Linked DNA regions of Neodiprion lecontei. The protein of the gene in region 4 interacts with the protein of the main gene of each other region in a biochemical or structural test. Links are inferred from orthologs where the notes say so. Each region holds a gene or a part of one and is shown on either strand. Other genes may lie near its edges. The genes, in order: ubiquitin-conjugating enzyme E2 H, ubiquitin-conjugating enzyme E2 G1, ubiquitin-conjugating enzyme E2 C and ubiquitin-like modifier-activating enzyme 1.

Evidence for each region.
Region 1: of the proteins of ubiquitin-like modifier-activating enzyme 1 (region 4) and ubiquitin-conjugating enzyme E2 H, one has a biochemical effect on the other in vitro, tested with the Homo sapiens proteins (3 studies listed by BioGRID, with this or other methods). The link is inferred for Neodiprion lecontei from reciprocal best matches to the Homo sapiens genes UBA1 and UBE2H.
Region 2: of the proteins of ubiquitin-like modifier-activating enzyme 1 (region 4) and ubiquitin-conjugating enzyme E2 G1, one has a biochemical effect on the other in vitro, tested with the Homo sapiens proteins (3 studies listed by BioGRID, with this or other methods). The link is inferred for Neodiprion lecontei from reciprocal best matches to the Homo sapiens genes UBA1 and UBE2G1.
Region 3: of the proteins of ubiquitin-like modifier-activating enzyme 1 (region 4) and ubiquitin-conjugating enzyme E2 C, one has a biochemical effect on the other in vitro, tested with the Homo sapiens proteins (5 studies listed by BioGRID, with this or other methods). The link is inferred for Neodiprion lecontei from reciprocal best matches to the Homo sapiens genes UBA1 and UBE2C.

The regions. Positions count from the first base shown.
Region 1 is NC_060264.1:30,549,102-30,555,923, reverse strand, and holds the start of ubiquitin-conjugating enzyme E2 H, read right to left. Parts: upstream 5,261-6,822; 5' UTR 4,693-5,260; intron 4,687-4,692; exon of another isoform or gene 4,048-4,686; 5' UTR 3,520-4,047; coding exon 3,467-3,519; intron 1-3,466. UniProt on the Homo sapiens protein: Accepts ubiquitin from the E1 complex and catalyzes its covalent attachment to other proteins. E2 ubiquitin conjugating enzyme that transfers ubiquitin to MAEA, a core component of the CTLH E3 ubiquitin-protein ligase complex.
Region 2 is NC_060262.1:29,978,489-29,987,440, forward strand, and holds ubiquitin-conjugating enzyme E2 G1, read left to right. Parts: upstream 1-2,529; 5' UTR 2,530-2,656; coding exon 2,657-2,702; intron 2,703-4,016; coding exon 4,017-4,119; intron 4,120-4,745; coding exon 4,746-4,843; intron 4,844-5,138; coding exon 5,139-5,317; intron 5,318-5,407; coding exon 5,408-5,488; 3' UTR 5,489-5,530; intron 5,531-6,188; 3' UTR 6,189-7,066; downstream 7,067-8,952. UniProt on the Homo sapiens protein: Accepts ubiquitin from the E1 complex and catalyzes its covalent attachment to other proteins. In vitro catalyzes 'Lys-48'-, as well as 'Lys-63'-linked polyubiquitination. May be involved in degradation of muscle-specific proteins.
Region 3 is NC_060262.1:40,788,035-40,794,872, reverse strand, and holds ubiquitin-conjugating enzyme E2 C, read right to left. Parts: upstream 3,393-6,838; 5' UTR 3,281-3,392; coding exon 3,177-3,280; intron 2,974-3,176; coding exon 2,859-2,973; intron 2,309-2,858; coding exon 2,104-2,308; intron 1,917-2,103; coding exon 1,792-1,916; 3' UTR 1,210-1,791; downstream 1-1,209. Other genes in the region: valacyclovir hydrolase, read right to left, coding at 258-365; kxDL motif-containing protein CG10681, read left to right, coding at 5,220-5,368, 5,624-5,823, 6,048-6,185, 6,675-6,724. UniProt on the Homo sapiens protein: Accepts ubiquitin from the E1 complex and catalyzes its covalent attachment to other proteins. In vitro catalyzes 'Lys-11'- and 'Lys-48'-linked polyubiquitination.
Region 4 is NC_060264.1:983,510-992,714, reverse strand, and holds ubiquitin-like modifier-activating enzyme 1, read right to left. Parts: upstream 6,871-9,205; 5' UTR 6,333-6,870; coding exon 3,180-6,332; 3' UTR 2,121-3,179; downstream 1-2,120. Other genes in the region: DNA ligase 1, read right to left, coding at 1-86, 181-388, 480-658, 949-1,046, 1,143-1,369; kinesin-like protein KIF12, read right to left, coding at 8,457-8,901, 9,168-9,205. UniProt on the Homo sapiens protein: Catalyzes the first step in ubiquitin conjugation to mark cellular proteins for degradation through the ubiquitin-proteasome system.

The DNA.
Region 1 (6,822 bases), about 30 Mb from region 4:
CTTGACCCGCGACAGCGCGGGGGTCACATCGAATTGATATACGTTTGTGAAAATGAAAAACTTGAGCGTTTCTCAAACTCAGAATGACGATATCTTTCCGATGGGTATAGCGTATAAATAATGATTGATGTTGTGAGTGCGACAAGGGTGGACAGGAGGACAAGCGGGGTGAATTATTATATATTTTCTTTGCTAACTCCGAAACCATCGAATTATCGATTCATTTTTCACCGGAAACTAAACTCGCGATTTTAACATTTGATTCTGTGAGTCAAAATATGTTTATACATATAAAGCTTGAAGAAAAAACGGAAAGTAAAATAATAAAATATTTTCTCGGAAGTATGAAAAACTCTCTTGTCTCAAGGACCGCAAGAAAAGTTGTTTCATATCGTTGTACAATAATAACGAACAATAATGATCGACTACCCCAGCGTTTTAGCGTATTTTAAAAATCGCGTACCGCAGAATGTCGATAAAGAAGTGTTGACGTATCATAGTTAAGGGTATATAACACGTCGTGTAGTTATCACGTGTATAATATACATGCGTACGTGTATACCGTAAAAGTTATTCGAAAAAAATAAACGTAAGTTCGGTTTATTGATTTAAAATTGCCAAATGACATGATACGTTACATGTTTGTACACATTGCGACTGTTTGCCTATTCCTTTAATAATTATACTAAACATAACACGGTTGAACTGCATGTACGCGAGGTGTTGATAATTGAAAGAAGAAAATAAATAATTCAATGAATAAATAAGAACTGTTAAATCTGCCGCAGACATCACCGCACGCATTATGCAAGGGAAGTGTTGTTATGTTTCGTTTTTTGCTACCTCGCGGAACTAGCATAAGTCGTGCCCCATCCAAAATCGAGGTAACTGGCTTGAAGAACAGGCAGAGAAAACGATTCGACGTGTAAAATTGTAGAACCGTTATTGATCTTTGCGGAGCGAGAAACCTGCACGTTGAAGCATACCCCGAATATATACGAGCGAAAACAGAAAAAAGAATAAAACAAAAAAAAAATAAATAAAATAAAAAACCCAAGAAAGACGACAAGAGAAAATAAAATGGAATAAGGTAATAATAATAACAACAATAATGATAACCGAACACATTATATGGCGATGAATGTGCAGAGGGTCGACGAACGAGGGTGGAAGTGGGAGAAGGAGGGAAAAGCGGGGGCAGAGACTTCGTAAACAGAAGGCATATATAAACATATACATATGATATAGCTTAGAGTGCAGAGAAAACTGTGGAAAGAAGCTAACGAAAATCTCCGTTGCGTTAGACAAAGTGCTAAAACAACGACGACGACGACCGCGAATTGATTCTTTGAGTCGTAGTGGTAAGTATTCTTACCACCTATTTTATATCCATTTTTTGTATATTTAGAGAACTTTGAAAACATGTTTCTTTGCGGTTTTTTACTATTTCTAATAGTATACCAATAGGTTTTCAATTCTCGAGAGTAATTATTGCGACACAATGTAAGTTATTATTATTAGAAATAAATTGATTGAAAAAAATATTGAAAACTGAAGGAATAATTGATTTCTAAGAAACATCCTTCTACACATATACATGTTTAACATAAAGTATAAGATTTGGGGTCGCTAATTACGAATCTGTAATTGTATTTAAAAGATTCAAAATGGCTGATCCAATATGGCGAATGAAAATTTCAAACTCAATAGAATCCGGAGAAAAAAACTCTGTCCCGGGGTTTTTGGAGTCGCTAATTACGAATGTGAAACCAGATTTCGAAAATTCAGTACCACGAATCTAATCAGCGACCCCGAAGACTCCTGCATAGTTTTTTGAACTGGATTCTGTCAAATTTGAAATTTTAGGCCGCCATATTGGCTCCGCCATCTTGAATTTGTGAAATCTAATTTCAGATTCGTAATCAGCGATCCCAAAAACATATAATACTGTCTTGTTACAAATGTTGACTCGGCACAATAATCTGTAACTCCAAGGGTTAATATGCCGTCTTCCTTTTAGCGCGCGTTATATTTATTATGTACATTCTAGCCGCTCAATCAGCTGTTTAAGAACAGCTGTATGACCGTATAATATCATCTACCTGAACATATATACATACATACATACACTCTGCATTCGTGTTACGAGATGGGTAAAAGCGCAGCCGCCAGTTTCGCGAACAGTAGTGAAAGAGAGAAAAAAAAAACTGAGAATCGATTTCAAAATGGCAGAGAGCAAAGCAAAAAGTGATAGAATGACGAAACAAACAGAATGAAGACTATCGCGAAAACATGGTTTGGCGGAAAAGGTTGAAAATAAAATGAAAGTTGAATCGCTCGCGTAGAATTGAAAATGAGAAAACTTTCAATAGGCTAGAGAACGGGGGAAAAGAGAAAGTTTTTGGAATACGCCAGAAAAAAAGAAAAAAAAAAAAGAAAGAGAGGCAAAGTATAGACGTACGCTGTGAGAGAGCGCGCTGCGGCCCAAAGTATAGTTGTACGCTGTAGGAGAGAGAAAGAGGGGCGAAGTATAGTCGTGCGCTGTGAGTGAGAGAGACCGCTGCTGCCGTCTCCCACCCCAAGCGCTGAGACAGAGAGAGAGAGCGCGCGCACACGCTGGAATAGAGAGAGAGAGAGAGAGAGGGAGATCGCGCGCACTATAGCAAACGAGCACTATAGCCAAAAAGTGTCGGTTTTTTGGTGTCGTTTTTTTCCGCCTAGCCCCTACGGTGAACGAGCGATAAGGAACTTCGTTCCAAAAGAAACAAGGATTTTAAAAACTATCTGCAAATTGTAAAAATTATGCATCCTGCAAGAAATTACGTCGAATTTGTGTTTTCTTATTCTTACTACTCTCGATTTTCTGACCTCTGAAGTGATAAAAATTTTTAAACGCGTGCACGTACAAGAGGCACGTATTATACATGTTCGTGTGTACAGCAATCAGCTGGTTGTTAAAAACAGCTGTGCGGTAGACGGAGAAAGACAGAAAAGGAGGGATGGAGAACTAGCGACGGCGTTGAGGAGGGGATGCACCAGGGGCGTAACAACTGGGGCCCCCTAATATCGACGGGCATGTAAACTGGTTAGGAAACATGAGTGAATGATGATGAAATTGGAGAAAATTTTGAACGAAATTACACGCATTGAAAACGAAGACGATTAGAAAGGAAGGACGATGGTGATTGGAAGTATGAAAGGATATACGAGAGGTCGGAGCATGGTTAAAATGAATAATTTATTTTACACATAGGTATTATGTATGTATGCATGTGTAAAGGTACGTGGATGCATGCGGATGGACGCGTTACTGACGAAACGTCGAATGAATGACTTATCGGATTCTCTAACAACGTCTGGTGTATCGCAATTTATAACACGTGTGTCAATAATAATTATTATTTTCTACAGTATGTTACATATTATGCATCATGTATACTGGCAATGTTTTATGAGTCAAGGATACAATTTGATGACATCGGTGTCCATACGTCGTTTTCCAGCGCTTGGTGACGACATGTTTCTTGTTTAATAGTGACAACAACAACAACAACAACGACGACAACCAAAACACGAAGGGGAAAAAAATGTACTAAAATAAATAGAAATTAAAATATAAATAAATAAATATCCAAAACTTTTATCGTATCGGTAGATCGGCTTGCCGATCGAGTGCTGGGTCTGCTTATGTGACAGCGACGATGACGGTAAACACGATCGGGGGGATTATATTTCTCCTCCAGTCTGTTCGGCGTAACATTAACACTGTCTACACGATTAGACGGATAAAAAGAAATATATTCTTTAGGTATTTTTCACCTCCACTACTGTTAGCAATATTTCAATAATCAGGTTCGCCAGATTTTCCGAAAACCCGCAGCAGCACACTGAACTTTAGGTTATTTCACTTATTTTTATTCTTCACGTTGTTCCGAACTGTCATTGACGTTGTAAATTTGTGAATTGTTATAATCCGAGCACACTGAATCACACTTTGGTGGACAATTGATCACCCTCTCGTCGTTTAATTAACTAAGGTAGGACGACCTGGTTTGATGAAATCATGAAATTGCAGCAGACCTTGCGGTCATCACAACTTTATACACATGGGCGGTCGGTTCTACGAGTGGGCGAAGAAGTGGGGGGTGGGATGTGAAGTAAGGCGGTGAGGAGGGGAACTAAGGAGTATAAAAACACGTCGCGACGCAGAAGCCAAGTAGATAAGAGAGAAGAATGATTAAAATTGAGAATTGGAATTAAAGCAAAGAAAATTAAAGATGACGAAGCGACTCGGGGAAAACGATCGACAATGCAAGTAAATTCACGCAGGGTGATCCGCTGATTGTGAGCGAGAAAAGGATAGATAGACGGAGAAAGAGGGAGACAAAGAATCGAGCAGCTGCGTAGCCAGAAACAAAACACGTCCGAGTTTCATGTGTAATTCATGTGTGGGTAGAGTTAGTTAATGTATGTATACATCAAATGTATGCACGCGTATATTTTAAAACCTATGCGCAGCCAGAGGATACCAACAGCGATTGAGATTCGTTGACGTTCCTTTGTTGTCGCGTTATGTATACCTCACTATCTATACTATTTATCGGAAAGAAGATATGTGTACGTGATTTTTTCTTTCTTGTTTTTTTTTTGTGAAAAGAAAACACTATCGAAGAAAGAAGCGATCTCCCTTACCGACAACGAGATCCACGTAATTATCGAAGTGGCTAGCCAGCTAGCTGGCCTAGGTTATTGAAAAAACCGTCAGTCCGCACGTAGCGTAAAACCGAACGATTCCTCTTTGTCACCAAACTCCACTGCAACCCTCACAGGAGAACGACGAGTTTACGCTAATGCTAGATAATCATTTCGACGAGGATTGATTGGTGGGCTGATTTTCTTTAACCCGACGTACGTACGGTGTACGTTCGTATGTATGTTACACACGATGCACGACGACGACGCGACGATCTATGCATACACATATACGCGCTCCGTTTTTCCCTTAGTTATTATGTATGCAGGCGAGGTTTTTCAAAATTCGCTACGGGCTCTTCTTTATTATGCCTTCCCGACCCAGTTCGATTTCAACACAATTTTACTGCACTTCGAACCTGTTCGTCTTATTTTCTTTCTAGTTCGCCTGTCGCACATATACCATATTCCAGAACTCTACTACAGTTTTCTCATCGTTTTCGCTCTCACACTCGCACTCCGCGACCTGTCAGCCCTCTGACTTGGCGCATCTGACTGACTGTTTCACCTAGCATCCCACCACCGCGCGCCTCCATCCCTCTCCAAATCGACGGGGTCGTGTAGCTCTTTGTCGCGCGAACACGCTGCGCACTCCTACGTTGACATACCTATGTATCCATGCAGTATCGTGGGCTGCTTGTGTACCACACACACAAACACACGCACACCATCCGCAGATTGCATGTATCTGTCCTTTTTCTCTCTCCTCTCTTCAAAACTTGTTTTGAAAGGTGGCGCCAGCAGCTGCCAGCAGGTGGGAAGGAATTCTCCACCTTAGAGCATATACTACTGGAGAGAGCTGATCATCCCATCGATCTCGCGAAAAATACAGCGGAAGTAGTGAGAGATAGATATATACTAGGGCGTGTGTAGGGTTACTCTGCGTCTCTCACTCTGCTTTTGATTGGCTTAGAGAAAACGTATCGGCCAATCAGGTGTGGAGCGAGAGAGATAGATTATAACAAACATATACCTCTTTCTCTCTCACTCCTCCGCTACACTCTCTGTATACGCAAGCTACCTTCAGAACTCCTCATGTGCAGTAACATCCTATGTAGCTATTACGGGTACGAACAAATCCCACGAATATTCCCTATTATTTTCTAGAAATTGGTGGCTGTTGGGCAAAAGCTATAACGAACCTACCACCCGTAAACCTAATAGACGTAATACCCTGTAGCGTATTTCGGAATAACGGATAATTGGTTTGGAATGATGAATTGCAATTTAAATATAGCCCCCTTGTATTTATCAGGTTCTCCTAGTTAGATACGGCTGACGGCCAACAGTCTCAGGACTATCGGACATTTTATTTCTCCGTAAAAATCCTGGATTTTTTACCGCACTTCAGACTTTTGCTCGGTTTTCATCAGTTTTCATACCATTGATAGCAAATAATAGAACCCACGCCGAGAAGCGTTATTTCGATTAGTTTCGACTTGGATCGTTGACAGCGCTCGGAATCCAATGCTATACTAAGGTAATATTTTTAGGCCGTACACTAATAGTCTTTTGCGGTCTTTGAAACACAAAACAAGTTTTGTAATTATTATTGGCAATATTTCTGTTGCCCAACGCCGAACAGCCAATGTACGGAATCATTGAAGTGCTAGATGTTCTTTTAATTTGTCACTTCAAGTCACTTCGTTTACTCTACCGGTAGAGAATATAAATTAACCTAACCCATCGTGTGTTAGTCGAACGGTTGACGTTAATTTACGTAAATTACAAGACTACAAAATTTCATAATTCGGATATTTAATAGCTTCGTTTTTCTTCTTTTCCTCCATTTTATCAAGGATGAAAGAAAAATATATTACAAAACATACGATACATATATGGTCGTTTCCGAAATGAAATATTTTACAAATTGTGAATTAACTATGAAATATGAGTTTCGTCCATTTTTTTTTTACAGATTTTAAATGTATTAACAGAATGTATGTAACAGAATTCAATTCAATTATGACAATTGCTAGTATCGTTATCAAACACGCACGTAATGACACAATACTAAAAGTTCTGTCTTCAAATTATTAAAAACGCGTTTTCTTCCTCATTTTTTTTCTG
Region 2 (8,952 bases), on a different chromosome or scaffold from region 4:
ATCCTGGAAGTCGAGAAATTTTATTAGCGGACTGACAGCTACCGAATTCGGGATTGCGCGAAAAACGAATTGAAATAATTTATTGTAAACATGAACGAGGAACCACGGAGCGCTTATCCTGGAAGTCGAGAAATTTTATTAGCGGACTGACAGCCACCGAATTCGGGATTGCGCGAAAAACGAATTGAAATAATTTATTGTAAACATGAACGAGGAACCACGGAGCGCTTATCCTGGAAGTCGAGAAATTTTATTAGCGGACTGACAGCTACCGAATTCGGGATTGCGCGAAAAACGAATTGAAATAATTTATTGTAAACATGAACGAGGAACCACGGAGCGCTTATCCTGGAAGTCGAGAAATTTTATTAGCGGACTGACAGCCACCGAATTCGGGATTGCGCGAAAAACGAATTGAAATAATTTATTGTAAACATGAACGAGGAACCACGGAGCGCTTATCCTGGAAGTCGAGAAATTTTATTAGCGGACTGACAGCCACCGAATTCGGGATTGCGCGAAAAACGAATTGAAATAATTTATTGTAAACATGAACGAGGAACCACGGAGCGCTTATCCTGGAAGTCGAGAAATTTTATTAGCGGACTGACAGCTACCGAATTCGGGATTGCGCGAAAAACGAATTGAAATAATTTATTGTAAACATGAACGAGGAACCACGGAGCGCTTATCCTGGAAGTCGAGTTTCACCGCGTAGCGGACCCGAAGCGCGGGATCCGGGAGGTTGAGAACCCGGTACACGAAATTTGCGGAGCGCGACTCTCACCCGTCCGCTCTACTGCGCGGTTGTTTCCCGACTGAGGAATTCGGCTGGCTGATTTTGAATTGGTGACGTCACTTTCTGAACATCCGACATCCAAACTTTGGTTTCGACCTTTAATACTATGTATGATGATGTATGATGTATGATGTATGATGTATGATGTATGATGTATGATGATATGATATGATGTATAATGAGTTTAGGTTTCACATTTCATACAAGAAATACACACTTTATCTCTCCTGCCGATTCCAGACTCAAGCGGCCAGGCCCTTCGATGGTCAGCCGTTGACTGAAGATGTATTCTTCAGTGAACGGGTCGGCTGATAACGCTGCCGTTCTGCGACAGTTGGATGATGAAAAATTTCGCTCGTATCTTTCAAATGTGTGTTAAAATACACTCGAAGTGTTGAGAAGCGTCGTTCTTTCTCTCCCTATCACCTTTTTAGGTCTTTAAATCACTACGCAGTGTTAAATACTGTCTCATATACGAAGCATCCATTTCATCTCGTTCAGAATTAGCGCATCCGTTATGTATTGCAGTTACTCTGAATTTTTTTCCATCCGAATACTTTTCGAAAAACAATTCCGCTCCTCCACCCAACGCAGATGCTTCACTTGCGACCAGCTAAAACAGCGTTTCGATTCTATGCCTACGAAAATTCGAGATCGAGAGAGCAAATGAAAAGTTGTTGGAATAATTGTGAATATTGATGTTATGGATTACATGAAGTGCGTGTCGAATCGAATTCCATTTCAAATTAAATAATTCTTCTATTTTCAAGTTATAGCCGATTATTGTAGATAATGTAGTTTGTCCTCCTGGAAAATTATAAAATTTTTGCGCCTGTCAAATAGGCATCCGCCCATACGCTGACGCAAACATGTAACTCGCTAGGCGTTCGGTTTAGATTTAACCTGCATACGGAGAATTTTTACGGATACATAACATAATGAATTAGCACTTGAATTAGAGACAGCTAAAATGTAAATGTTCTAGACGAATTTTCATGAACAAGTCGATCGCTCCTAAAGTGGGGGCCTTATATCCAATAAGGTCCATGATGGGAATTTGTGGATACGTCGTTTGATCTTGAAAAAATAGATGTTTAGTTTAAAATCTCTGAATAAGGTATTTTTGGACAGTTTTATAATAGGAGGCTAGTTAATTAGTCAATTTTCACTGCAGACAACACTTCGTTGATGTAAAATTTACCCGTGGGATTTGGTGTGTTTAAGGACTTATGCGATGGTGCATGGAAGATGCATCGATGGTATCATCAATAAAGAAGTTACCTGTAGTTACCGGCTCGATTAATGGGGATGCCGGTTTTCGGAACGCTTGGAGAAAACTCTACCTGTGTGTGATCTACTCGTGGCAACTTCTCGCTATACCGGCGTCAACTAGCGATGACTTTGCGATCCTTCGACTTCGAGCATATACTAACGAAGGTAGCTCTCATGCCGTCAACCCACGCGTCAACCTCGCCAAAACTGCAGCCGAAATGATGCGTGAGAGAACGAATTTACTCGTTACAGCCTGTGCTCTCATTCTGCATCTGATTGGCTGGAAGGAAACATATTGGCCAACCAGGTGTAGAGCGAGAGAGGTAGGCTGTAGTGAACATATCCTTATTCTCTCTCACTTCTCCGCCATACTTTTTGTGCACGCGAGACTACCCACAGCAGTGTATGCTCCAAGCCTTCGGCAAACGGTATAGTGTAATAATTGTCTGTAGTGTGGCTAGCATGCTGACGAGGCCCGTTCGAGCTGGCAACCCTGTGCGCAGTACCGCTTCCGACGTACCATCTTTCCCGTGAAGCAAGAGTGATTGTTTTCAACTTTAGTCTTATTTAACACAATTTTTATTAATGTCAGAGCCACAGTCTACGCTTCTACTAAGAAAACAGTTAGCAGGTACCCTAAATATTATTTAAATACATAAATGCAAGGCGTGAACGGTGAATTGTTCGTAAAAAATGCTTGGTCATTTTTAGCTACGAAACGGTCGACCTCGCCAACACGGTCGATTCACATTTCTTTGTCAGTTGTGTCTATCTGGGAATATCTTTAATTAAAATCCTACCGAGTACCGCGACGTACACAAAATTTTGATCACAGATCCTATAAATTCCCGGCGTTAACTTGAGCGCAAAAATCAATAAAGTTACACCCGTGTACCCCTGTGAATAATGCTAACCTAGCATTTCGTTTTCTACCAGAGAACTGCCCAGGCCATGCGCCCTGACGTGAAATGCGTCACGAAGATTACCGTCTGCTTATTTTTAGCCTTTGCGTGCTCCACGTATTACGACGCGACCTTCTTCGTTTAAAAAAAACGCCATAGTTGACTCGAATATCAGTTCCCAATACAAACAATTTTTTCTCTTTATTATCTTCTACCTGTTCCTCCCTTCTCCTGGTCCACAAGCATCGTGACAGGAGTCGACCAATTCACAAGGTTGGGTCAATCTCTGGAGAATACCTCTGATTATTATTAGTCTGCAGTCATCTCCACAGAATCTTTTGAACGTTCACTTCCTTTGTGACAACTCGTCGTAATTTCACTCATTCGTCCGAAAATATGATACTGCATACGAATATGAAAAAATAAAAATACGAATAATAAGTTATTTCGAGTACTGTAAATTTTATCCAACCCGTCATTTGCTAGAAACAAAATTTTGTCAATCTTAGATAGATTAATAGTACTCACTTTACACTATCTCTTGACTATATATTCGTAATTATATTCTATTATTATTAAAGCCCAAGAACCTGGTATCTGTTTAGGTTTATCATTTCGTACATTTAAAATTCGGATCGTCTAGGGTCTTAATGTATATAAATCATTTAATCAATGGTCAATCGGACCAAATTGAATCCCATTATGTGTGACAGTAGATTTACTTATTGCCCTGCTTGATTGGGAATTAATGTAAAGCACGCTGCCTTTGTATTCATTACAATGTATCCATACAGCACTTGAAAAGAGACGGTTAAATGTTTCCTTTCACTTGATATAATATTTGACAAAATTTGAACAGCATTCACATCTCTGAGCAAGAAGGCAGCTGCATCATGTGGAATTAAATAGATGGGCGCAAACTCGCATCGATTCGATCCATTTGTTGTCTTAAACAAGCTGATCTGTGCTTGAGTTTGATTAATTTTATAGCTGACGATAAAATGTAATCCTATGTTTATTGGGAATTTTCTGTCCAATTTCAGAATTAAATAAAAACCCAGTGGAAGGGTTTTCAGCAGGCCTCATAGATGATAATGACATATATCGATGGGAGGTGCTCATCATTGGACCTCCGGATACATTATAGTAAGGATTAACGTAACTCTTTTTGTGGAATCTTTTATATCTTCTCATATTGTTATTTGGTTCAGTGAATTATAATGAAATGATGCTTGAAAGTACGAGTTCCCACTTCAAGAAGCTGAAATTTTGAAATTTTTTCATCAATCACTCATGCTGTATACACTGTATTATGAATAATCAAATTAATATTGTTTTTAAGTTCAAACATTTTTGAAACATTATTTCTGAAATGCCTTTTTTCTGCATTTATGATCTTCGATAAGAAATAACAAGATAAGGCAGCAAGGATTATTCAACTGCAAAACTGTATCTTATTTTTCATTCAATTATTTGTAATTTCTTATCTTTTATCTATTTATGATTTATACCGACTCCTTGAAATAGTACTTACCTTACCGGGTAGATGAATAGATACATAATAGCTCTATTGTTGTCTCAAAAATATTTGTACTTGTATTGGCAAGTCCTAGTTCTAGTCTAGGGAGTCTACATTTTTTACATTGCATCAGTCTAATTTAAGTAGTTCACTTGCTGCAATTTATTGCAAGGAAGAGTTAGAATAGATGAATAACATTTATCCTTTTCTCATTTCAAGTGCATAATATGTGTGAATAAATTTCTTTTTACAGCGAGGGTGGTTTCTTCAAAGCGCATTTACAATTTCCTAAAGAATATCCGCTGAGGCCGCCAAGGATGAAATTTATAACAGAAATATGGCACCCTAATAGTAAGTTGTTTCGATTTTTATTTTTAATACAGTTATAAAAAAAAATGTATCTTTATAGTATCATATTAATTTTGACTTGTAATGAAGCTGCGAAGAGTATAGTAGTAACCAAACTGAATTGAACTGTTTGTGGAACTATGTAACTTGCTCGCTGAAATTGACTATAATTGAGATAGATATCCTTGTAATGTATTTGGACACAAAGAATAATGATTTTAAATAGTTCCAAAAGTATTGAATTCAATTAGACACTCAACATTTTCCAAGTTTTAAGTTCAACTTGGTTTTTTAACAGTCGAAAAGAATGGCGATGTGTGCATATCGATCCTTCATGAGCCAGGCGATGATAAATGGGGTTATGAGAAAGCATCAGAGAGATGGCTGCCTGTTCACACAGTTGAAACAATTCTTATAAGTGTCATCAGCATGCTCGCTGATCCTAATGATGAAAGTCCTGCAAATGTAGATGCTGCTGTGAGTAATATTTTCTGCACTGTGTAAATATTAATATTGTATTTAATAAAACAGTACTTGATTCATAATTAAACTTGTCAATGTTTACAGAAAGAGTGGAGGGAAAGTTATACAGAGTTCAAGCGAAAGGTGGCAAGATGTGTTCGAAAAAGCCAAGAAGAGTGTTTGTAGGGGAAGAACGAATATTCAAACGGAAAGACTTATTTAATTCTGGTATGTCATATAATTTTTAACAGTAAATTAATTACTATGAGATCAAATCAAAAGCACGAAACAAACACAAGACAAAAACATGCGACCATATGGCCTTAAACACGTTATACATTTCCCCGACGTTACGATTGTTCTGAGGTCTACCATAACCCAAATTATTTTTGTTCTATGACTACAATTAATTTTGGTCTTCAAGTTGTAAAATTAAAATCATAGTTTCAGGACTGTTATTATCGTCATATGTTTCATGTCTGTAGGAAATAATGGGTAGTATAGCATCAAATATTCTGGACTTATCTCCAAGATCCTTTCCACGCATTTTAAACTATGATCAAGAATTCTTCATTCCAGTACGTAGTATCCGTTCGCAGTAAAAGAAACTTGCCAATTTGTTAAAAGAACAAACCCTTTGTTTATAACATACCTTTAATTTAAACACCCAGAATTATTTTACCATAACGTAAGATACGTCAAGTATTGAATAGTTTACATGATTCGTCTGAAATGTTTTGTCCCTCATTTTAACGTGCATAATATTGTAGTGTTCTCGTTATTGATTAGTTAGTGAAATATGTTCATTTCCCAGACTGCTGGATCTATAAAAAGTGGAAAAAGAAGTAGAGTTGAAAATGATTGACGAATTTGGTTATATCCACAGGGAAACCACGCACTGTATGGCATAAAACCAAGCGAATCATGCGGATATTGGAATACAGTGCCACTGAATACGGATTAGAGCAAACCTGGGCGAGATACCTCGTTAAGCTCTGTTGAGTCGCCGAACCATCAACAACGTACGAGCCATCGACATGAAAAACATGAAAACACACACAGCTCACCTTTCACACGATGAACTAATTTACAAATATACATAATACAAATCATCTGTACCAATAATACCCTAATATTAATAGTGATTGTAAACTTAACCCCCCTGTCCCTCCTGCCCAGCACTCTGTAATTTAAAGTATGTTTACGTTTATCACTCAACAATATTCCTTAGCGTCGTTTCATATTTTCTTACTTTCGTATTATAAATAAATTTTTGTAAAGTCGTAAAAAAAAAAAAAACAAAGAAGCAAGAATCGTTGACGTAAGCCAGTAAAATACAATGTGAATTACATTTATATCATTATAATTACCGATACCAGACGTATAATTGCAATGATTGCAATATATATATATATATATATATATATATATATATACTCTGTGTGTGTGTGTGTGTGTATATATATATATATATACATATATGATATAAATTTTTGCCGAACCGTAAGTTGCCAAAATAACGAACGCTAGTTAGAGTAATGATAATAATGAATAACAATAATAATGGTAATTATTAGTTGAATTAATGTTAAGTGCACACGTACATGCTGTGAAACATTGTACTCGCTCTTCGTCACTATGGTGGCCATTTATCCTTCCCCACCTCTCCGACTTGCGGTTCTACTACAAAACTTAGGTTGAAATTGAAATAATTTTGTCCAACTATATATAATAATATTGTCAATTAAATTTTAAAACAATGAATTTTCACGACTTATCACTTTTTTTTACCTTTTTCTATTATACATTATACAGCTATCGTTCTGTACATTGCCGTAAACAATCTGGTATTTATTACGAATGGTTTAAAATGATCTGTGCTTATGTCGTTTGAAGTAGTAGAAAAGTAGGAAAGTATATGTTGTAATTATAATATTGAATCGGCGTGACTATAAACTGAACTGAAAAAGAGAGCCAGTAATGTTTTTATAATTAAGAAGATCCGTGGAGATGAATGTATAACATCGTTAAAGCACCGATTTGACTAAATTGATAAAATTAGACGTGTCCAAGATAAAATCTAATCAATCCGTTAACTAGTGGAACGAAGTAGGCTCTTCCTTACATATTGTAACGCTGATTTTACTGCGATCAAGAGTTAATTACTGAATTCCAATACTGCATGCAGAATGTTCGGATTTTACGGCAAAAGAACTGTTGAAGAGTGATCGAATTGAAAATCCTTGGAAACAGAAGCTAAGATTTAAAACGGTGAAATTATTCACTTGTAAGATTTGTAACAAATCTATGAATAAACAATAAACTAGCCTACAACTAGCTAGCGAGTGTTAAATACGAGCACGTTCTTTGTTCGTCCTGTTGTGGATTTTTTATTCCACATATTTATCACACCCTTTATCTAATTTAAATTATTACCTGCTTTTAAATTTTACAAAAATATTAGGTGTTAAATTTTTGATATAGTTTCTGTTCGAAGTTCGGCGTCAAAACTCAAAGTGTTACTGATTGAGAAAATGTTCTCACGTTATGCACATCACAGTGATCTATGAGCGTCGGATCAAATCGTACAGGTATAAATATCCAAGCTCTTATTTTACCCATGTGACTGACGTTTTGACGTCTAAAATTGTTATTAGACGCTGCAAAATTATCAAGAAAATATGCAAAGCCCATGGTGATTAATCGGCTAGCATATCTTCAAGTGTTGAACGGCTGCAGTAAAAAGGTCAATTAAATTTAATCGCGGCATTGGAATCAAGCATGCATCGGTTTTTCTATGACGTCACTTTCTAATTGCAAGTCAAAAGTCCCCATCAATTAATTTCAACGTGAAATAACAAACAATCTATTCGCTCACTCTACCTACGGATTGATTCACAACGAATAGCGATGTTCCTAAACACGGAGGTATACGCTATTCGACGCAAGTCAGTAGGAAAAACAAAGTTAACTTAACGAATATTTCACTGAATGATCGATATGCTCACCAATCGCTTGATTACCTCCGAGGAATTATTTCGAGACCGAACATGAATTCGTTATAGTCATTTAGTTGAACAAGAGTATGAATAATGTGGTTGCGTTGCAGAAGAAATCTGCACGCATAGCGCGAGTGATTATTTGAATGAGACTAATGTATAATGTGGTCGGAGTTTCTAAGTTCATGCAACGATTTTGCGGCACCGCAAAAACCAAGTACATACACACTTTGATAAGGAACAAGTTGTTTCGTTTAATTAGACCACCGCCTTGCTAAGATAAGCGGTGCAATTTTATTACAAAAAGATTTCTAAGTAATATAATATTATGCTGTCCTGAACGCCGTCTTTAAGGGTTAAACTTGCAAGAAACATTCGGCCGCGATCTGATCTCCCACGCAGCATCTTCAGATTTTGGCATTGTCGAATGTCTTTCTATTTGTAGTTACAATTAGGATTATACCGCGGTTGGTCGCGTCTTTACGTAAGGTATATATATATTTATATTACGTACCTAGCACTGATTGTAATCCAGTTATGTCACTTGTCGTTATCCGCACTTCCGATCCTTGGCCGGCGCCCTTCCGGCACCTTAACAATCTTGCACCCGAAGACGATATGACGAAAATTAGAAGTTTCAACCCAAGCTAA
Region 3 (6,838 bases), on a different chromosome or scaffold from region 4:
TCCTTTAAAAATCGTGCGATTATTGTTCTGCGTGCGTATTCTTTGGCTTTGACCTTGTAAAAGTTGGCCTCGCAGTGTTACACGTGTTCGCGCATGCGCGACTAGACGAAAACAGAGCGGTCCCGTATGCAACTTTCTCTTTCTATTCCGCTACCAACTTCTCAGCCCGGTCACGCGGTCTATTCTTATATGTCTATGGAATAATATCGTCATACATAACCTCTCCGTATTTCATGTTTTTTCTCGCCTTACCATACCTCAAAATTCGTTGACATGTTTCTCATCGTTGAAGTAAATATTAGCTTGTTGCTAGGTATTTTTTTAACGAATGCATTCACGACTTGCTTCACCACAGATGACAGCATATCCTACTGCTAATTAACGCAGCTGGATTAAACTGATACACCAATAACTATACGATACTGCCTACTGTAGTATACTAAAAAAAATTTCGTATCGAACTATTCACTTGATTTTGTGCGTTTTTACTTTTAATATCGCGCCACGCGAGCTCGCGCACAAAAATATTCGAGTTTAATTTTTAAAATCTTTTTTATATTCATGCAGATATTAAATATATTTTGTAAATTACTGTCAATGATAATTTTAAACGTTTAAGTAACTTTCCTTTCTAATGAAAAGAAGGAATCATAAGCCGGTCAAAACATCACCTTTCCATATTTATATTTTTAAATTTAGAATTAGCGGCTGTGACCGTTATATGTCGGTACGAAAAATTAAGTGACAAAGAAAATAAATGCTAGAATAATTCTTCGGAGAATTTTTTCCACGCTATTTCCAATTAATTTTTTCACTGTTTACGATGTTTTAAAATTTTTGGGGGCTTTATATGATCACTGCTAGCCCCGATATTTTAATGTAACGGAATTATTCAGCTACTGAATTCTGTAGTGATACTTATTTTGGTTAAATTATTTCTCATCCACATGTAAGACAATAGTTAATCACGCGGAGTCTGTAAAAGTCAAATAAGTAAAATATCACAAGATGAACGTATAAAATTTGCCGTTGTTTACTAACAACGTATAGTTTTCCGAAATTTGAATATTTAATTTTATTCAAATCCGAATCTCTGGAATTTACATACTGCAGAAAATTCAAAGCAATATGAAACCATAGAATTTGAGTACATACATCGACAAATCATCATAATTTGCTTCAACAATAGAAAAATGAAGTGAAAGTATATGCATGGTCTTAAAATATTTATTTTAGCATTACACAATAATAAACCAATTGAAAATGATCCACAAATGTAAACGTTATATACGTCAGCGCCTTGTTGTACCAAGATATTAGATATTTATATTTATTATTACATATATAAAATAAATAAACGTTTGTTTTTATTCAAAATCAAACAAATAATAAAATTATGAATGTAGACGGCGTGTATTTGAGATCAGTCCCCTATATAAATGAATTTGTATACATGCTCACTTTACGCGAAAGTAAATCACACTATATTACTAGAAACCTCGTAGAGGTGTGAATTATTAACAATCACAAAGTTTTAATTTGTTCTTTGAAGAGGTTTCGATTACATATTACAATTTTATTATTACGTCAAAAACGTGACCAACATTCGTATGTATGTCTACTAAAGTAAAGTTAGGGTAGCGAAAACAAAAAAAAAAAAAAGGTCGTAGGTACATATTCGTCATAATAATGCGTGTTTCTCGCATGCCTCAATTGTACGTGTATTTTAACTGTACTGAGAATTACGATAGTGGTAATAGAGCGATAAAGGAGTGTGGAAGAGTAGGTTTATCATGAGTCCTGATTGGCATGACTGGGAGCTTTACGATATTCTTCGTGCAAATGTTTCTTGTACTCCGTTTGATTCGGCCACAATTCAGCGGCCTGAGGATTCAGTGGACTTTCATTGTTCGGCTCTACAGAAAACAAACCAAGGAAAGACAAATTATTCATGCGAACGTAATTAAATATATTTCTAGAAAGCTCAGACAGTTTATAAATTGAAACAAAAAAACATACTTCATATTTGGTATAGATTTTACAGACCTATTATCTGTAAAACGAGGATGCAACAAATCAATGACTATAATTTGAAACACTTACCCCCTAGCAAAGATTGTATAGATAGAAGTATGGTACGAACATCATACAACGCACTCCATTTGTCTTTCAATATATCCAGACAGATGTTACCGGCTGAATCGACGTTTGGATGAAAGCAGGGGGTAGCAAAGCGCACCACCGGAGCACTGTACGGATAACTGTGTGGGAACTCCAGTGTCAGCTTGTACGTCAGCCCCACATATACCTGTTTATTACATTAGATTATATACATTACTCCGTTACTGCAGTATTGCGCATTAAACCAACAAAACAGGACTTTGTACGATAATATTTACCTTGATTCAAACATCACAATCATAGGAAAGCATTGAAAACTAATTGGAAATTTCCTATTGTCAATTTAATTCTGATAAGCTATTCTTTTCTATCTTTCATTCAATTTGTAAATGAATGGCCTCACGCTTTGTACCATGCCTGACTTTGGACAACAATTCATAATATATAATACTTTTGAATTTATTTTTCAATCGAGCTTAGCGATCAATCAACTTCGCAATTAGACCTCCAGCTACTGGGTTATCTCTAGATTGTCACAAGACACGTTGAACAGTATACAAAATATCTCGAAACACAGAATGATCGAGCAGACTAACTTTCCGGGAATCGTGTAAGGAGCGTAAAGTCTGGAAATAATTTTTTCGAAGCACCATTGCCTCGTACATTGGTTTTAAATTTTTTACTCGAAGAGATTTTATCTTGACAAAAACTGTGTGTGAGGTACAAGAATACCTTACCGTGTCTCGTGGGCCAGTTATGGTTCCGATCCACTTGAAAAGGTTCTCACCGTCTGGAAAGGCAGATACACTTTTTTCAGTACTGGTCATCAGGACTAGGAGTTCCTTTTGAAGCCTGTGAAATAAACGCGAGCATATCATTTGGCGTGAGTGAGGGATTTGGAAATAATGGGAGTAAAGTTTGGTTATGGGGCTGAAAAACGCGGTGGAATCCCCAGTTTGATCATACCAAGTGTGTACGTAAGTAATTGAATTCCGTTTGACCGAATGTCGATACTGCGCGAGGGCTGGGAAAATTGAGGTAGAGATTGTACCTACCTTTTGCTCACTGCATGATTGTCTTTTGGGACGTTCTGCTTTTCCTCCTTAGCTTTGTTAGGCGTACTTTGAGACGAGTAGAACGGGTTTATATTCTGTGCCATTTCCCAACTATACCAGATCCGCTAATACGATAAAGAATTCCTTTTGTCTACCAACCGAAAACCGACACAAGCACAACAGTCAACAGTGAAAATTTGAATGCGCCCATGTTATTATCCGTTCTTAAATACATCGAAAGTCAAAACAACTATTAATCAACATAAATCCCATATAGATTATTGAGTTTGTATATTAATAATTTGTATTTTGATTTTAGTTTCATCCAGAATGGAATTTTCTGAAGTAAAAACACGGGCTTTGTTGTAAATATGGATAGTAGTTTGACTTCCTTCCGCGAATTATGAAAATAAATCGTTATATCGTATTTTTTGTACAAATAAATCAAAACTGTAAACCTTTATTTCGTACTTATTTATAGGACGGACTGAAAACAAATTAATATAACACGTATTACATATTTCTTCCACATACTCGGCGGTTCCTACAGTAAATCACCGGTGAACGGTTACAGTGATCAGTACTAGCGTCCTCTAACAAGAAATAAATTTTTGAAACTAATTTTCAGTCGTAAACGCGTGTCGGTAACAGGCTCGACTTACCATCACGAAAGCAATGGATAATACAGAGCATGGCCACTGAGTAACCGTATTTTGACACGAGTCACGGCCATACTTGTTGAGATTCAGCGAATTACAAACTTAGGAAACGACGTTAGCGCATTACTCCTCATTTCTATAAGGTTCTATTTTATTTCTTACCTTTCGTGAACTTAAGAACTGAAAGATTCAACTCATTGCTCAAGAATGAAAAATTAGCTCATAGACAGTATGTTTCAAACCTTTCCGAAAAGTGCTAAAAAACTTGTCCTTAATTTCCTGATCACCGAATCGAAAAATTACTGAAAACATAATAATACTAACACAAATCTTTACTGTGACACTTACTGACAGTGCAGTTATTAAACTTGAATGAATTATATGTGCTCCGTTCAACCTCACTACAAATGTTAGAGCAGCCAGCGTTTTTTTTTTTTTTCAAGTAGGTATGTGGGTGTTTTTAGGATAAAGATGGTGATTTAAGTACGAGCTAAAGACGGAACAAACGTGAGTACTAAAATCATTTTTCGAGCTAAAAACACTATACGGGCGTGCTCTATACAATATTTTTTCCAGAAAAGCGTGAAAGGTCACTTTGATGCCAGATGAGACCCGAGCGTCAGAACTGAACAGAAGTCTAAACTATCGTATAAAGTATCTGTATTTTCTCATGAAAATTTTGAAACTCTCGATTAGGTAAATAATAACGTACTTCCTTTGCGCTCCTTTCTGCCATACCGTATACTTCGAAGTATATGTGCATAAATGACGCCGTATTTATATACGTAACTCAAGAAACCTTTATATTATTAATAAACACTTGAATATAGTTGAAAAAATGGAACAAGTAAAATTTACTCACTGTCGTAAAACACTAACGCCGCTGAATTGCTGGATCTTTCAGGGCACACAATCGATTTGCACTCTCTACCATTTACCAGAAAACTGCTGGACCTAGTCGTCTCTTGGCTCTTGAGTCCTCACTACCAATAACTTTTTTTAGAAAGTGGAGCCACGTCCAGCCCTATTTGCATTTCGGGAATATTTCACAAAATATTTTCTTGTTCGAGTCACACATTGTGGATGCAGTCCTCATAATCAGATGTAAGACAATGCAAAATGCATTGATCGAATCAGGCGAATCATTTTTCACAGGGCAATTCAAATTTTGAAGCGTTGAAACGCGACCCTATCCATTCGTTCGAAAACAGATATCGCCACGCGAGTCTCGATTGTCGAATACAGCTGCGCAATAGCGACTGCGCATGACGCAGATGGTGTTTACCGAATTGCAGTCGGCTGCTGCGCCAGGCGTATTGTCTCAGAGCAGTGGAACGGTGGGTTGAGCTCACGGAGTAGTCGAACTGTCAAGCGTGTTGTAAAAATGGCGGCCATCCAAGGGACGCCCGAGTCCGACGCTGGAAGTTTTGAGTGTTTTCAAAATTACACAGCCCCGGAGGTTTTCGTACAAGGTCTAGCTGGCATCGTAGATCAACAAGATGTAGAATCCATGATTCGTGCTCAGAAACAAATGTGAGGATATGGGATAAATATTTATTTAAGTATAAGCTCGATCGGGGCATGAGGTTATGTTGTGTATTTATCCCCCCCGCTTATCGATTTTTTAGCCAAACGTCCGCATAACGCGCAAAATTTGAAATACGTCACTGATTTCTAAAAATTATTGGTTGAAAGAAAATTTCTTATACTTAATTTCGAGTGCTTCGTTGCCGATTTTTTTATTTTTATTAAATACCTTAGTGATAATTATTTTGATTCAATTTTCAGGCTCCAAAGATTCGAGAAAACGAACGAAATGCTAACAAATTGCAATCAGCTATCGATAAATCGTTTGAAGACTGCGGGAGCCGAGTTTAAGAAACACACGACATTGCTAGCAGAGATGAAACGAGATTTGGATCACATTTTCAAGCGGATTCGAGTGGTCAAGACGAAACTGAGCCAACAATATCCGCAGGCGTTTAATGGTTAGTTATGTCCTTCGATCTTTAATACATTCTTAGCAATATTTGACCCATAGTGTTGTTTGTTATTATAATCTGGTTCAAGGAACGAAACAGAGAATGAACTCGAATCAAGAATTCGTACATACCAATAAAAAAATAAATTACATGTTACATCAAATTAAATTACTCAAATTACAATTTACTTAGGTTATACTTGCCCAATTCTTTTATATGTCGTGTGATAGAGGCTGTAAGGAGTAGCCTAGCAGAGGAAGTTATCGTCGAAGACATTGTGCCAGGTCCACCGCCTCTTCAGCCTGAAATATTACCTTTACCTTTGCCCGTGGACAGTCATGTTACCGATGGAGATCCAGACTCAGACGGTAACGATGCGCACCTCAAATAACGACACCTTACTAACTCACGTGTATATAATCTAATACAATTATTATCATCGTTGTTATCATGATTCATGTTATTTATTTAATGTTAATGTAAAACGATGTACAACGTGGTACAGTCAAAGTGCGTGAATTCATTTTACATTGTCAATGTAGTAGAACAAGTTTGATTGAAAAGTAAGGGAAAAACATTCCTATTAAGCGAGAATCGCTTGGTGGATCCACTGCTTTTTGGCTGTATTATATTATTATAATATGCGTCTTAAATTGTATAATATTAGGTTAGGCATATATGAATCTGACTTACGAAATATATATATCATTTATTTGTGTTTCGTATATAAATATTTTATTGTTTATATATATTATATGCGTTTCACGTTAATTACCCTGCACACGTAACACATTTTTGTTTTACCTCATGTTCTTGTCCACTAATTTACTTCCGTTTCGTTTCTTTTCTCTTTCCAGCACCGTTGCGAAACACGGAGTCTTTCGTTGGGAGGTTGAAGCAACGCGCGGTAGAGATATATTATCTTTTTGATTTTTTTATTTTTTTTTTATTCGTCATCCTTCAACTTTAATTTTCAATATATGTCCTGTTTTATAATCTAACTAACTCAACTGAATCACAG
Region 4 (9,205 bases):
TGGGTTATACGAATAAGTCTGTGTTTTGGCGCTACCATTACTAGTTTTCTTCTCTTCAGGTTTTGAACCGTTCTTCTGTTTTACCGCTACGAAGTAGAGAAATTCACGGATATTAAGAAACGAAATGGTAAAACAATGAGACTGAGAACTTTGAAACTACAATATTAATGTGTACCATACCAAAGAAACTATGAACATTTTTCGGAGACTTTTTAGTCGCTGGCGAAGCTTTTGGCTTTTCCACTTTTGCTTTCTTAGGACTTTCTGCTTCTTCCTCTTCCGAGGCGTGCTTACTTTTTGGAGATATATCATCCTCTGATTCCATCTCTTTTTTAACAGGACTTTTCAGAAATGCTTTAGCATCTGGTTTAATTGGACTATCTGGGAGCTGAGTAACGACAAACAAATTGATATATAATCACAGAAGTATGTCTGAATATTTGTACAACATGGCTCACTAGTGAATATTGAAAACTTACTGCCAAGTGAACGTCGTCGTCACTAGAATCATCCTGAGGGATTATTCTCGCTCGTTTTTTGGCGCTCTGATTAATTTTGTTTTTAGAATTACGATTATCATTTTTTGTCGTGGTTCTCTTGGGTGTAGTTTTCTTGACATCCTCATCTTTGACAACAGATTTGTTCTCATTTTCTTTTCCTAAATATGCGAGTGAAAGTGGATTTTTCTTTTGACCATCTTTAATCTTCACATTTGAAGATGATTGAGTTTGAATTTTTACTCTGCTCTCTTCTAGTTTCTTTACTATTTCTGGATGCAGTGTATTACCTTTGAAATTAACTGGAGCTGTAATTCAAGGAATTTCACATTGGGATGTAGAAAGTAAAATTGAATCGAATCACTCCAAAACAAAACTACAAAGTCTAGTAAAGTTGACTAGAAGAAAGAGAGGATACTTAAAGTCATAAACACATCTATACATATCGTACCTATTTGTCTACGCTGAATTGATCCAGGAGATTTTTGTGACGATGAGGTAGATGGTGCATCGTTGACACTAGTACTGATTTTTTTCGCAGGTGGCGGGCTGCGAAAAGATTAAGTAAACAATTTTCAGTCCATGAACAATTTTTGAAACAGTGTAGCTCGGATAATAATCGTAATTCATTTACTGTCATATTACCTTATAGATTCAGTGCCATTAGAACTGTCCACTCGTTTCCTTTTAGCAACTGAAGGACTGTCGTCGTCATCTTTCTTCTTGGACAAACTATTACCGATATGTAACCAATTGAATGAAGAACACGATACACCGTTACTATCTAGCAGTCGTGTTAACGAGATAACCGGTTGCTCGAGGATAATGGTACGAGATTTAAACAGCGTGAAAATCACGTTAAACTTGAGCATATTCTTAATTATATCTAAATATATTCAATTTAGGAGGATTTTTACATTGTTGGTAGTACAAAAGCATACCTTAGCTCTGACTCCAGATCATTCGTATCAATTTTCGGCACACGTTTCGTGAAAAATGAACTGAAATCAAAAAATATCATCGACCAGAGTACATATTATAATGAATCGGTAATCATTCGTTTATTCACACCATTTTCTGGCGTGTTATTAATGAAACATATGCATTATCAACTCACGTGATAGACTTTTGCGCCATTTTCGCGCCGTTTTTAATACCTAACCTCAACTACCCAACCATGGAACCACTGTTGATGCTTGTCAACACTGATCCTAACCTTGACTTCCGATAAGCCAATTTTTGATTTTGTTTTCGGCTACAATCGGTGAATAATAATCATATTAACCGAAGAAATCATGTGATTCATTATTTACAAAAATAACTTATTAATCGTCAAAGTATTTTTACGATTCCGTCTTCAGCTTGGAGGCTTGAATCAACGCCGTGACGTCACAATCGGCATCCCCCTACCTCGAAAATATATAATACACATATTTCTAGCTACGAGTTAATCACTACATACTTATGACTACATAGGTATAAGTCATCTGAGGCAGGTTTTTCTTTTAATCGCAATCGTCTTATGAGTCATAAGTTATAATCCCAGCAGTCTTGCGCATATTCTTCACCAGACGATTGTTCGAATAAATGATAAGGGAGTTGAAGAACATAACAAAACAGAAATTGCACGTTATTTTCATACTTATATTTCGTATTTTCGTGAAATCCAAACACATCTATTTATTTATCATGGATCAAATAATACAATAAATATCCGCGTTATCCTAGAATAAACAAAATATTTTCCATTACTTGGTTTTTTTTTATTTATTTTTTTTCATTTTTACTTCGCAATATTTTATTTTTTTGTATTTTTCCACTATTATATGGTCTAAAAGAAGTTGATTATTTTTCTCCTCTTTTCCCATTCTCGAAACTTCTCAGAAAGATATTTTACAAATTTAAATGCAGTATATCTCGTAACAACAAACAGTCTTGAAGCCAATATTAATTATTATTCATTGTTTTTGAAAAAGATTTTATGAAGCGGATAAATTAAATCGTTAGTATTTTATCGCTCATAACTTTTTAAAATAAGATAGAGATATGATGACGGCGATTTCACAGCAAAAGAATCAATTGAATTCTATAAAAACTACTACAATCATCTTACACTATTGGCCACAACCATCAGTGACAAACGATGATGGCAAGATACAGTTTGCAATTCAGCTATTCAATATTATTCGACATGTATCTTTCGTGTAATTCGCTAACATTTTTCTGTACCAAACATCTTTCTTTAAACCTAATTTATCAATTTGCACTCGACAAATACAGTGTGTGAAACATCCTCCAAGTTTTCTTACCCACAAATCACATGTTTTGGCAAAAAAGTTAACTAAAAAGTTTTTATTGTTGTTAATTTCTGATTTCACAGATTCAGTAATTTGTTAAGCACTACGAAATTTTACGTTCCTTTTACTCTAATTCTTTTCGTTTGACACTGGTAAGAAATCATGAGAGAATTCCTGCAACTAGCAATAGCTAATAAGGATTACGCGAGAAAGCGGAGGCCAAACAAAATGAAATTTGCATTACAATCCGTGGGAGAAATATGTGTGGGGTCAAACGGTTAATAATATTTTTCCTGTATCGTATTTTAAAATAGAAATTTGTAGAAATCACTACAACTAATCAGTTAAGTAGATATTTCCTATATTATGAAGTATAGTCGCTGAGTCAGGGCAGTGTGTAACGTACGTAGGGAACCTCAACGTCGTTGCCATCACTATCGTTGCAGCAGAGTTCAAAAACCAAAGCACGTACATGAGGCTCGAGTTTCTTCTTAGAAACCTTTTTGACTACCTCCGACATAGGCAAGCCCATTCTCTCTTGGCACTTTGCTTTTGCCATGAAAAATGAATAGAGCATACAAACTCCCTGTGATAACATTGTGACCTCAAGATTATGCTTTTCTTTGAAGTAATCCAAGAATTCTTTCAGAGTTAATTCTCCCTTTACTTCAAAGCGGTCCCACAAAGTCCATTCCGTATCGTAATACTTCAATTTTGGAGCAGCAATCGGCTCGGAAAATCCAAAGAAAGGTAGAGCAAGATTGACGAATCCGTTCTTGTATATCGATAGGTCTGTAACACCTCGGGCTAGCTTGATAAGTTCGAGGCATACGAGTCCGGCAACGACGGATGTTGTTGTTGCAATAGCAGGTATAATTTTCCCAGCAATCAACTTGCTTTTATGCCTATCCGCCTGTGGGATTTTGTAGTTTGCTGCACGAAGATTTGAGGCTGCTACAATGAAGTCGATATGGAAGTTGGTGTCATCGTCCTTCTCAAACTCTTGTGGGTGAATGACGAGTCCGTCGAGTCCTTCGGCGTTTGCCAGCTCTTCTTGCAGCTGGTTCAGCCTATCGTGATCCACATTTCCACTTCCGTTGGAAACCTGAACCTGAGAATCAGTCTCTGCGATTTTCACACCTGACTTGGGTACAAAGTCTGGTACTTTGATTTGCGATACAATGCTTGCAATTTCATGGCGGTTGCGGATAGGGGATATCCCATAAACTGCTGCTTTCAAATTTGCCGTGGCAATGATATAGTCCAAATGCAAGGGATCATTCAAATCGAATGTCAGTGGTACCGGGCATCGTTTGGGACCTGACCAAAACGGTTGACCGCTGGTGGTCACTTGGTCAGGGGGGAAGTTGAACAACAGCTGTCTAATTTGGTTGCTGTACTGTTCTTGCCAGTGGCAGCGAGCCCACGCTACACAGTCCGTAAAAGATCTTGGTCTCTCGTCTATTAAAGCTGTTTTAACAGCTTCCAGGACTTCCAAGGGCTGAACACCAGGCAGCTTCAGAGTCCTCTCGATAAATAGAGGATCGGAGATGTGCTGAGCTGCGCTCTCCGCAGCCTGTTTGAATAGTCCTTCGAAGGTGTCTCTGGCCCACTGCAAAGTGTGTTCAATGGCATTCGGAAAATTCTTTAAAGTACAAATTGGGATGCTCTTCTCCGGAGGGTCTTGAGACGAACTGTAAGACTCCGTTAGGAACGGCACAACAACTTGAGTGTTTCCCTTGGTTCCCAGGGTTCCGGATTCAAGCAGTGGTTTTCGGTAATACACACATCTTCGGTCCATGTAAATTCTGGCATCCACATTGTCCAAGGCATTGGCGACTCCATCGAGTACTTCAAAGAACTCGTCGTTGTAAGTTTTCTCAGTCTCTGGTCCAACTCTATTCTCGTGGGCAATCACCTTCATGTTAGGATTCATGCCTTTAATTACTCGTGCAGCGGTAGAAGCCTTGGATCTTTGAACGTCCGTAGGTCTGAACAAAAATTGTCTATTCAAGTTGGATTTTTCAATTAAGTCCATATCAGTCACGGTGACGCAGCCATTTTCCGCACCAACACCCATCATGGCAAAATTCTTTAGCAATTCACAGCCAATTGCGCCAGCTCCAACGACAAAGTACTTGAGCGCCCCAATTTTCGATTGGAATTTTCTCCCAAACACGGCAACTTGAGAATCGTAACGAGTCCCGGTTGGACAGGCATCCTCCTCTGATAATTCCGACTTATCAGCGGGCAGGCATTCGATGGCGTCGAAGTAGAGCCACTGGAAAATTGGGGAAAACTTTCCGGAGCAAGCTTTCATGACTTCTTGAGCAACTACACCTCCGATCGTTGCATTCATGGGATTCAAATCTCCGGCGGAAACTTTGGCAAAAGTTTCTAGCAGCTCAACGTTAATCTCAATGTCGTTTCCACCATCTTCCTTCACCGATTTAGCAACAGCTACAAATTCCTGGGCATCTTCTTGATTCCAAGGGCGAGGAAGGCGTCCTTTAGTCTCAATGTATTTGTGCAGTGTGGTAAAGGCAAGATGCAGTTGTTCCGGATAGTCAAACTTGCCAAAATCAGTGATGAGGAACTCCGGCTCCTTCAGAGCCACTTTGAGTGGCTTGAATTCCAATGTTTTTGGCATTTTCACCTGAGTCACAATACCGCCTCTAATGTACTCCGAGTACTTTGTGGTATCTCCGATGCTGAACGTGTACGGGCCGAGCACCTTGATCTTCTTGGGTTCACAGCCGTTGAGCTCCGTGGTGCCTTGGATTTCGGAAAAGGTGACGTAATCTCCATCCTCCATGCCGTGCCTGCTGTCGTCGAGGCAGGTCACAATACCCTCGACGTCCCTGGATATACTGGCTACCATGGCGCTGATCGGAGGTTCACCGTTGGTATCTACGACGGTGAAAGAAGGGCCGAAGTCGCAGAAGACTTGGGAGAACAGACCACGAGTCTCGGCGATGATCAGAGCGATATTATTGGCGTGGGTTATTTCAGATATGCGTAGTTGCTCGGAAAGTGATGTGTTTGTGAGGACAATGACCTTGAAATTTTTAATATATTCCTTGGACAAGGGGCCGGCATAGTGACGAGTCGGGACGTAATTATTCAGCTCGGATAAATGGTAGCTGCAAGCCTCGGCGCGATTCTTTCCAACGTCAGACTCGGTCAGGTAAAACTGAGAGCCGAGGTCGGTTATTTGACAGACGGTGTCGTCGTGCAAGGTCACGGACTTTACGCCGCCGAGGATAACATTCTTCGCAATTTCTACACCCAGGCCGCCGAGGCCCGATATCAGAACGTCCGAAGACGCCATTCGGCGCATGGCATCGTGCCCGAGGACGTACAGCTGACGGGAGTAAAGTCCCTCGTCGATTTCGGCCGGTGCGCGGGAAGTCGAGCCATTTTTCGCCATCTCTACGATCGCCGTGGGGTTCTCGGCTCCTCCCGTAGTCGCAGCAGCAACGCGTCGCTTCTTGGCTGGGGGGTCAACGGAGCTCTCCACCACCTCAGCACTAGACATCGGACTTCAAGGAAGCAGTTTTATATATCTGTCGATTGTTTTCCTCGTCCGCTTGCACTGATAAGCCCTACGCTTCACGCGCAACACGTCTCCTCTCCTCTCCTCTCTACGACGTCCTTCCGCACCACCCTCTCTTCGCTCTTCCCTCTTCCAGCCCTTTCCCTCGTTCGCCGCGTTGATTTCTTTCCTCGATCGACAACGTGCACGATTGTATTTCGATTTACCTGCTTCACGTTAAGACAAAGACTATTCGTCACTAGGATTGGGGTCTCTAGCCCTGACGCACGCACAAGATGAACAACCAACCATACAGGAATGATTTCTCGTTCTTTCTTCGCTCCTCGGCCGCCGATTCACCCACTGCCTTCTCGATATCGAGTTATCGCAACCCTGCAGTCTGGACAAAAGTAGAACAGGTGATTCCATCTTCGTCCGTAACTACACGAACGAAATTTTGATTCGTCATTCTAAGTGACTACTGCGCCGTCTTACCAAACTTGAACCGTACCGTCAACTTTTACAGTAAATTCCTCCGTCAACGACTACGTTCAACTGAAGATAGACGGAGAATGCTAGCGCAGAGTTATTTCTCGTAATAATTTATCGGGTCTGATAGAGTTTGGGGTCAATTCTAGTGGCCTGTACTTACCGACCCGTCTTGTGGGATCCGATGTAGAGTCGGTATAGCAGAATGCTGCTATTTTTTCCAACGCCCTTCAGCTCATCGTGCACGCACGCTAAAGTCCGCAGGACTAGCAATTTTTATACACCTCGTCAACGGCGAGCGTACCTACGGACTTCCAGAGATTAAATCACTGATTTGAAATTTAATACATAAATCAATAGGATATTTTCAACTTTAGGATTTCTGTTATGATTCGGACCCCAATTCGCACAACTGCGAGTATGGCAGATGCTTCATATTTCTGCCAGTTTTTATTCGTTCTCAATATAAGTAATGTCAAGTGACTGCTCGTCGACTGACAAATATACAACGACTCGAGATATGGCGAACGTTTTTTTTTCAAATTTTTTATTTATTCGCCCCTTTTCAAATACTTAACGGTAGAGTTGCGGAACAATCACATAACCATGACGAATCGGTAGATCAATGCCTTTGAAACAACGAGTCGACCGTCTATTAACATACTGTTGTACGGACGAACTTGCCGCCATTCAATTTGAATTGCTGTTCTCTGAGGAAGCTGCCTTCTTATTTGCTCTACTGTTTAGTAAAATGAAAATTATAAAAAATACAAGATTCTGAGTAATATACGGTGCGGAGTAAAGAAAACTGACGACAACCACAATATTTCACAACAAACCTTCTGCATTTTAATTACGTATGTAAGCCACACCTACACTGTATTATAAATACCGCACTCCATTATCAACGATTCAATCTTTTACAATAATTAGTCAACTACCGGGTTAGCTTTACATTTACGTTCTTCAAAACGTAAGAAATTAGAGGTAAATGGTCTGCTATACCATTTCCTTAATTATTTCATCGGTTTACAGCACACCACAAATACGTACTTCTGCACACAGGGTAAAAATATCTCTTGTTGCAAAACACACTGTTTGAGAATTATGGTATAATCAATATACTCTCTCACTATGTTATATTCAGTTATCTAATATGTGGGTAAATGACGCTAAAATATAATATACATTTGATAATTATCGTCAAGTTTGAGCCTGCCCATTAGACTTCATTGTATACAGTTTTTTTCCACTGCCTGAAGAATATTCTTCTCGTTCCAACTCGAATTGCAGTAACTTCACAATGAAGTTTGCGCAAACTGAATTCAGTGCGTCACTACCATTTTAATTTGCCTGTGTGATTTTATATATATATTTTTATTTTATTTTGAAGATATTGCGATTTGATTTGGAAGAGTAGTTGTTTCATCGTTTTATCCAAAAACGTAAATTTATCGTCATAACTTGCGTTCTTCGCAATCCTGTTAATATCATTCAAATAAGTACATAAATAAACAAATAGTACTCTTTATGCATAATTATCATCCCTTTTTAAATATGTTATATAATTTATACTGTTCAAGTAAAATATCGTACCAAATTGCGACTAAAGTTATGCGGATAATTTCCTTTCTATACCTAATGCTTATTAGTTAGCGAGGTAGACAAAAAATGTGGATCGTCACCATCTAGCGAAACGAGACTCCCAAAAACGCGATGTGCGGGCAAACCATTAGCGACCTTAGTACCCGCCGAGCCAGGGATTTCTTGTCGCGGTCTTGATCCACGCGAGGAAACGTTCGAAGTTTCAATACCGTCGTCTAATTCCGGGGAAGTGAATGGAGATGATGTACGTGAAGCTATAACAGGAAATGCCGCGGTTGGAGCAACGGAATCAGCGGTACCCGGAGCCAAATTGTTACCTTCCAGGATCGGCCCACTTAAAACAGAGTCTGGAGTAGAAGTGTCGTCGTTCAAAGAATGGCTCTTCAACGGCGGATGGTTATCATCGAAATTTGACATCGCTAAGCTCCTTTCTTCCGGCACTGTCGACGTTCTTCGCAGGGTTGCACCTTTTCTGTTACTGTAATCAGGGGGAACGAAATCAGACTTGAGAGAATATCGTCGGGCATACTGGTACTTATTACAACAGCTTAATGAGAAACTTAAGTTCATTGGTTTATACCACAGGCACAGTGCATAAAGTTGAGCTTGAAGTATATTTCATGCTCGTATTGTGTTTGTCCTTTTTTTTTTTATTTTTAATAGTCTGTATTGATTTTCTGAATTACTTTATGCGTACTTGGAAACTGGCGTTACTACTTATAGATGAGACGTCTTAGTTCTTACTGGCTAGGGTCGACAGGAGACGAGGTTTGATCCGGACT